Linked DNA regions of Rattus norvegicus. The protein of the gene in region 1 interacts with the protein of each later gene in a pairwise test. Links are inferred from orthologs where the notes say so. Each region holds a gene or a part of one and is shown on either strand. Other genes may lie near its edges.

The links.
Region 2: the proteins of Grn (region 1) and Dlk1 interact in binary tests that used the Homo sapiens proteins (3 or more experiments, as listed by UniProt). The link is inferred for Rattus norvegicus from reciprocal best matches to the Homo sapiens genes GRN and DLK1.

Annotation. Positions count from the first base shown.
Region 1 is NC_086028.1:87,886,285-87,890,788, forward strand, and holds the start of Grn (progranulin isoform a precursor), read left to right. Parts: upstream 1-1,549; 5' UTR 1,550-1,566; coding exon 1,567-1,598; exon of another isoform or gene 1,599-1,750; intron 1,751-3,932; coding exon 3,933-4,077; intron 4,078-4,189; coding exon 4,190-4,315; intron 4,316-4,437; coding exon 4,438-4,504. UniProt on the Homo sapiens protein: Secreted protein that acts as a key regulator of lysosomal function and as a growth factor involved in inflammation, wound healing and cell proliferation. Regulates protein trafficking to lysosomes, and also the activity of lysosomal enzymes.
Region 2 is NC_086024.1:134,197,817-134,200,378, forward strand, and holds the end of Dlk1 (protein delta homolog 1 precursor), read left to right. Parts: intron 1-964; coding exon 965-1,712; 3' UTR 1,713-1,963; downstream 1,964-2,562. UniProt on the Homo sapiens protein: May have a role in neuroendocrine differentiation.

The sequences.
Region 1 (4,504 bases):
TCCGGAACACAGGAAACCCTGACTCAGAGGGAGAGCTGCAATGTCGCTGAGGTTGGTTTCCAACTCCTGGGGTTAAGCAACCTCCCTTCCTCAACCTCCACATCATGGCTGTGTCTCACTAGAAGCCTAAGCCGTGGTCTGTTTTGGGGATACCTATACGAATGTCATGGAACACCTACGCTAACATCGTCAGGGTACCGAATTATGTTAGATTCTCTGCTCCAGTCTTACACACTTTCCGAGACTCCTGGAGCTCCAGTGTAAGAAGCCCTCATGGAATTCCACAAGCCCGCACTCCTCTCGGTGCAGAACTCCCACTGTCCTGAATTGTGTGGCTGACCCCGTGATCCTGACTGGCCTCCCAGTAAAGGTTTCTGCTTCTAGGGGTAGGAGTGGGGTAACCTAGCTTCCACCTTGAAAGCAAACACAGTCTTTTCTCCAAGGCCCAGCCTTGGCCTTTCTTAGAGTCTGTCTTCTTGGCCCTTCTCCAATCACCGTCTCTGTCTGGCCAGGCCCTTTGGCACTCAGCAGCCTGGCTCTTGTTTCTGGCTAATCTGTTCTACAGCTTAAAATTTCTCTATTCTCCCACCATAACAATTCCTCGAAGGTGGGGACAGCTGAAACAAGGAAACCCCTTGATCTCCACAGTCACCAGCCTGCTCCACAAGCCCACGCCCCACACTTAGTGCGAGTCCAAAGGCCCTTATCTTGAACGTGGCTTTCAATCCTTACTAGAGGCTGTCTTTCCTATCTAGTTTCAAGTTCCTCGGTCCCGCCGAATCAACCTCTTTTTTTCGGAGCTGGGGACCGAACCCAGGGCCTTGCACTTGCTAGGCAAGTGCTCTACAACTGAGCTAAATCCCCAACCCCTCGAATCAACCTCTTAAAGTTCTTTCAGATTCAACTTAATGCTGCACTATCAAGCAGGATTTTAATCTCTTCTTCCCTAACCTTGAGCTAATCTCCTGTCTTCTCTCTGCACACATCTATAGTGACTGGTGCTCGCTTTTGAACTTTTATTAGATTTAGTCTAAGCCACTCTCCCCGTTCAAACCAGGGGACTATTTATCCTCACCCTCACAACCATCTTTCAACTTCTTTCGAGTCCTGGCTGCCAGGCGTGAAAAGGCAGAGAATGTACAAAAGTCGCGATCCAGAAGCAGACACTCTCCAGTAAACGACCTTGAACGTGTGCCCTCAGGGCAGCTCTCTTAACTGTTGGTGGCCTTAGGCAAGCGGTGTCTGGTCTCACAACACCCTGCCGGGCGCCGCCAGAACCCGGGGTTAAATGCAACCAAACAAGCTAGAGCTGCCCTGGGGGAGGCGGGCTATGCTGTCATATGATTCTCTAATCACATGATCCCTAGAAATGGGGTGTGGGGAGACAGAGGAAAGGGAGGAGGAATGTGAAATGAGTAGAAAAAGAAACACAGCATTCCTGGAGAGTCCCGCCTCTACGTAGACAAGTAACCAATGAAAGCCCTGGATCTCTGAGCCATGGCTAATGGAAATTGAGGTGGGCGGGCCATCGCGCGGCCAAGCCCTAGTCCTGGAGCTGACCGCCAGATGCCTCCCAGGGAGCGCGGACCCCGACGCAGGTAGGAGGATCCTTTGCAGATATCTCCCCCGCTACTGTCCAGAGGCCTGACCAGGCTGCTGTGCAATTGAGGGTCCTCTGGAGTCTCAGCTCAGAGACAAGAGAAGACCTGCCTCTTGAAACTCCTCTAGGGGTTTCTGATGCACTAACGAGGTTTTTTTTTCTTTTCTTTTTTTTTTTGGGGGGGGGGACGAGCGGTTGTCGTAGATACCCCCAGTAAGAGGCTCCTCTTGCCCAGCATGTTGGAAAGCTGCAGGCCTTTCTCCAGGGCAGGAACCACCCCACTCTTGGGCCAGCTCCTCTGTCTGTACCTGCCACCTGTCTCCAGGTCCCGGCTCTTTCTCTTTCTGATGCTGCAAGTGGTCTCCGCGGCGGCGTGCAGTGGGTGGGGAGTCTCCCGCCCTTGGTCCCCAGAGCTCAGAAGGGTTGGGGGCAGGACCCGGGCCTGATGGCTGAATCCCTGGGTTGTGTCAGTTGTATTTCCTTTCTTGGGGGCGAGAGAGCTAACTTCCGCCTGCCTCTCCCCGCCACTTTTCCCTGCTCCTTCTCATTAGGATTGGCTCACCTTTTCGGAAATTCATCTCCCCTTGACACTCGGAGATGGGGGGTGCCACCTAGTGGAAGATGCCGGAGCTAGGGCTTTGAAAGGCTCCGGTTCTCCCTGGCTGTGTAATGTAGAGGTGGTCAGGGGCTCACCACTCCCCAGTCCTATTGAGAGGAATTGGGTCTCCCTTACCCCTTCCTGGTTAGGAAATGGCCTCTGGGATTTTTTTTTTTATGTGGGTGGGGGTTAGGTTAAAGAGCACTTGGAAGGACCTAAAAAAGGAAAGAGAGGGGGTTGGGGGAGACGACAGATCCTTCTATGTAGCCTAGGCTGGCCTGGGATTCACCTTGTAGCCCAGGCTGCCCTCGGATTCACCTTGTAGCCCAAGTTGGCCTGGCACTTGCAACCCTCCTACCTCAGCCTCTCAAATGCTGGGATCAAAAGCATGCCTGCCATGCGTGGGTGGCATTTCCTGCCTTTTGTAGCCACCAGTGTCCAGGCAGAGATTGAAGACTTGAGACACAGGGAAGGAACAATTTCTGAGGCCCTCAGTCATAGATTAGAGTGTTACTTCCAGGACTAAAACCCAACTGCAGCTTCAACGAAGTCCCTGTACCCACCCTGCTTCTATCCTGCTTGGGTCACCTGCCAAGAAATCTTCTGCCCCATCCCTCTGCACCTCTGGCCTCTGGGAATCAGGGTCCTTCCCTGGCAATGACCAGAGACAACGGTTGGCATATGAACCCAGTCTAATACCCTGTCTTTTCCCCCCTGGCTTGATCCTTAGGCATGGATTTGAAAAGTGAAAGTAATATTTTAATTATTGCTTTTCATAGATTGCTGAGAAATACAGTGAGAGGGGAAAATGGCTCCCTGGAGGGTCTTTGAATATTACTGGGTTTGCTGCTCTAGGCAGAATAACATCTTTCTGGGTTGCTGGGTAGACCATCTGAGCTGGGAAAAGGCTTATAGGGAAGTGAGAGGTTCAGTTCCTCCTGCTGAGGCAGAGAGTCAGTGAAGAGGTCCACTGGTTCTTCCCACTTGCAGCTGAGTTTCGATTTCTGATCAGGGAGAGACAGAGGCAGTCTGTTTGAGGAGTCCAAAAGGACCCTGGTGATGTCCGGAAGGCCTCATCATGAAGTTAGCTTTGAGGCTGACCTAGCCTCTGTGTCCCCTTCCCTTGAGTGGGGTGGGGACAGTTGTGGGTAGGCAGTGGCTGGCCCATAGGGAAGCCAGCCCAGACCCCACTGGCCACAGTACTTCTGTTTTTACAACTTTCTCCACCGCTAGGTTTCCCATATGATCATGTGACTGATGACTCTGTCCCCCAAGGCCTTTGAAAGCTACAGGTGGCAGACAGTTTGGTACCAGGCCGGGGTGGAGTTAGGCGGGCGGGATGGTGTGGGGCTGGCTTCCTCTTATGGCTGCTAAAGTCTCTTCTGCCTCCCAATTAGTCCTCAGTTCCATAAATCAAAGCCACAAAAGCCACATGCCTTCCCGACTGTCATAACCCCCTCCCCTCCTCTCCACGCACTCAGACTCTCAGGCGTTAGGCCATATGAATCGACACTGGTGTTCCTGCCAACATTCATGCTCACAGTGAGTGCAAGCTGACACACGAGTGCCGTGCACGGGTAGGGCGCTGACTCGAGCGACACATCTGCCTGCTTTCCCGTTGAGAATGCTCAATAAACCCAAGGCCTTGGCCTGAGCACAGGGGAATGCACAGCCTTGGAGTAGAAGGTGGCACAGGCTTCAAGATGGCTGCCAGACTTTGCTTGGCATTTGCAGGCAGACCATGTGGATCCTGGTGAGCTGGCTGGCCTTAGTGGCAAGGCTGGTGGCTGGAACACAGTGCCCAGATGGTCAATTCTGCCCTGTTGCCTGCTGCCTTGACCAGGGAGGAGCCAACTACAGCTGCTGTAACCCTCTTCTGGTGAGTGTCTCATGCCCCAGTTGGCAGCCTGGGCTTTCTGAAGGACTGTCTACCTCAGATTGGCCAGAGGACTGGCACAGATCCTTTGATTGATGTCATCTCTTCTTTCCAGGACACATGGCCTATAATAACGAGCCGTCGTCTAGATGGCTCCTGCCAGATCCGTGACCACTGTCCTGATGGCTACTCTTGTCTTCTCACTGTGTCTGGGACTTCCAGCTGCTGCCCGTTCTCTGAGGTGAGGCCGCCATTGGCTTAGGGGAACAGGAGATTGATTAAGATCTGCATTTACCCCTTTCCTTCACTCTTCTAGTCCCAGGCAAAAGGGTCTTGCTCACACAGGTGTCTCTTCGTCCATAGGGTGTATCTTGTGATGATGGCCAGCACTGCTGCCCCCGGGGCTTCCACTGTAGTGTGGATGGGAAAT
Region 2 (2,562 bases), on another chromosome or scaffold:
GTTGGGGGGACACTAGTATTAGCTAGCCGTAGTGGTAAAGAGGCTGGCAGGGGGTGGGGGTTGGGAGGGTCCGTTCAAGATCCAGGAGAATGCTGAAGCTCTGAACAGTCAGGAACACAGGGGTCTAAAGATCCCCCATTTAGAAGGGACATTGGAGGTAGTGACCACTGAACTTCACCGCTGTTTACTGGAAAGGGGCGGGGGCGGGCAGCATAGAGCAAGACCTTTCAACTTGTTTTGTTTTAACCGACTTGAACTAGTCTGTCAAAACAGAGCCCAGGAGCCCTTAGGAAGTTTTCAGAGCCGGGTTACTCTGCAGTCCTTGCCTGAAGCTGCAATGCTGATTCCTTGTGTGTGTTGTGGGGTGGGGGCGGTGGGGGGGGTGTCCTTTCCCGGAGTTTTGGCATTTATCAGATGACAAAGGGCTAGCTGGTTTAAAAGCACTTACATTAAATGCTCCTTGTGCTCAGCTTTGAGCAAACAACTTCAGTTTGCAAGCTGCACTTGGGTGAATAGACCAACATTAAACAGCCCGTCACAGACACCACTCCCGCCAGCAAAGATACAGTCCGTATTTCTTCACCGAGAGTCCCCAAGGGTTTCTCCTCACAATAGCTCGCTGGGTCCACTCCACTAGAAATAAAAATAATAAGGGGTGGGAAGGGGTGGGGTGGGGTGGGGGACGCAGACTGGAGCCCTAACAGTAGATCTCCCCTGGAGGACTGTGCCCCTTACTCTCCTCATCCGGGAACGAGCTCATTGAAAGATCTTACTCCAAACTGTTACTAATGCAGCCTCAGTTTCCCCATCTGACTAGTGACTTACAATCTTTGTTCTGGCCTGAGAGACTAAGAGGTGGGAGAGGGCTTAGGAGAGGGTATGGGAGGTCGGTTCTGTTCCTATTGCTCTGTCCTAGCCCAGCCCCCCCTCCCCCAGGACCCTTGACCATATCTTTGTGTTACAGTTCTCCCTGCCAGCACGGAGGCGCCTGCGTGGATGATGAGGGCCGGGCCTCGCATGCTTCCTGCCTGTGCCCCCCTGGCTTCTCGGGCAACTTCTGTGAGATCGTGACCAACAGCTGTACCCCTAACCCATGCGAGAACGATGGCGTCTGCACCGACATCGGGGGCGACTTCCGTTGCCGCTGCCCAGCTGGATTCGTCGACAAGACCTGCAGCCGTCCGGTGAGCAACTGCGCCAGTGGCCCGTGCCTGAACGGGGGCACCTGCCTCCAGCACACCCAGGTGAGCTTCGAGTGTCTGTGCAAGCCCCCGTTCATGGGTCCCACATGCGCGAAGAAGCGCGGGACCAGCCCCGTGCAGGTCACCCACCTACCCAGCGGCTACGGGCTCACCTACCGCCTGACCCCCGGGGTGCACGAGCTACCTGTCCAGCAGCCCGAGCACCACATCCTGAAGGTGTCCATGAAAGAGCTCAACAAGAGTGCCCCTCTCCTCACCGAGGGACAGGCCATCTGCTTCACCATCCTGGGCGTGCTCACCAGCCTGGTTGTGCTGGGCACCGTGGCCATCGTCTTTCTCAACAAGTGCGAGGCCTGGGTGTCCAACCTGCGCTACAACCACATGCTTCGCAAGAAGAAGAACCTGCTGTTGCAGTACAACAGCGGCGAGGAGCTGGCGGTCAATATCATCTTCCCGGAGAAGATCGACATGACCACCTTCAACAAGGAGGCTGGTGATGAGGATATCTAAGCAGCGTGTCCCCTCCCCCTCCCCCAGGCCCTTCTACATTATCGGGGTTCCTCACAGCTCCCTCTATGCGCTCTATGCTTCTTTGTGGTGGAGTTCGCTCTTGTGTGGAATCTAGTGAACGCTACGCTTACATTTATTGTCTCGTGTTGCTGTGTGACAAGCTGCCGCTAAGAACCCCTCCCTCCCTCCCTCCCTCCCTCCCTATTAATGCATGATATAATGAATAATAATAAGAATTTCATCTCTAAATGAGTTAAAGAAATAAGTATGTTATTCTAAACTCTATCGAATATCAAATATAAAATCAAAAAGACCAAAAAAAAACATGGCAACAGTACCAGGGCTTGGTGCTGAGGTCCCTCTCCCAGGGGAGGGGTGTCAGCCACCAGGTCCTCGTGAAACCACAAGAGTCCTGTGCTTGACCACTCACTGTGAAAAGGGCTAAACTCTTTCGTTCGTTAATTCTCACGCACACACGCACACTCACTCACATCAAGTCTCACACCGCAACCCTTAGATCTTTCCAATTGATTTGTGACTTTGCTGCGTGCGGTGGCTGTGTGCCAGGCAGAGAGAGACCCCAGGTTGGCTGTTGGCAGAGAGGTCCGGGGACCTAGTCCCAACCCTGCTGCTCACTCGCCGTGAGACCCTTGGCGAGAGCCCCCCCTCCAACCCTGGGCCACTTCCCCACCCCTCCCCATAAGGGAGGGGTGCAAACACCCAAACACCAAGGTCTTCTCTAGCTCCCAAATTCAGAATTAGGAACGAGGGATGTGTAGCAAAATTCTTCCTGACTTCGGTAGTAGGATCTGATGGAGACTTGGTCTCATCCTGGGATCCGAAAGGTTTT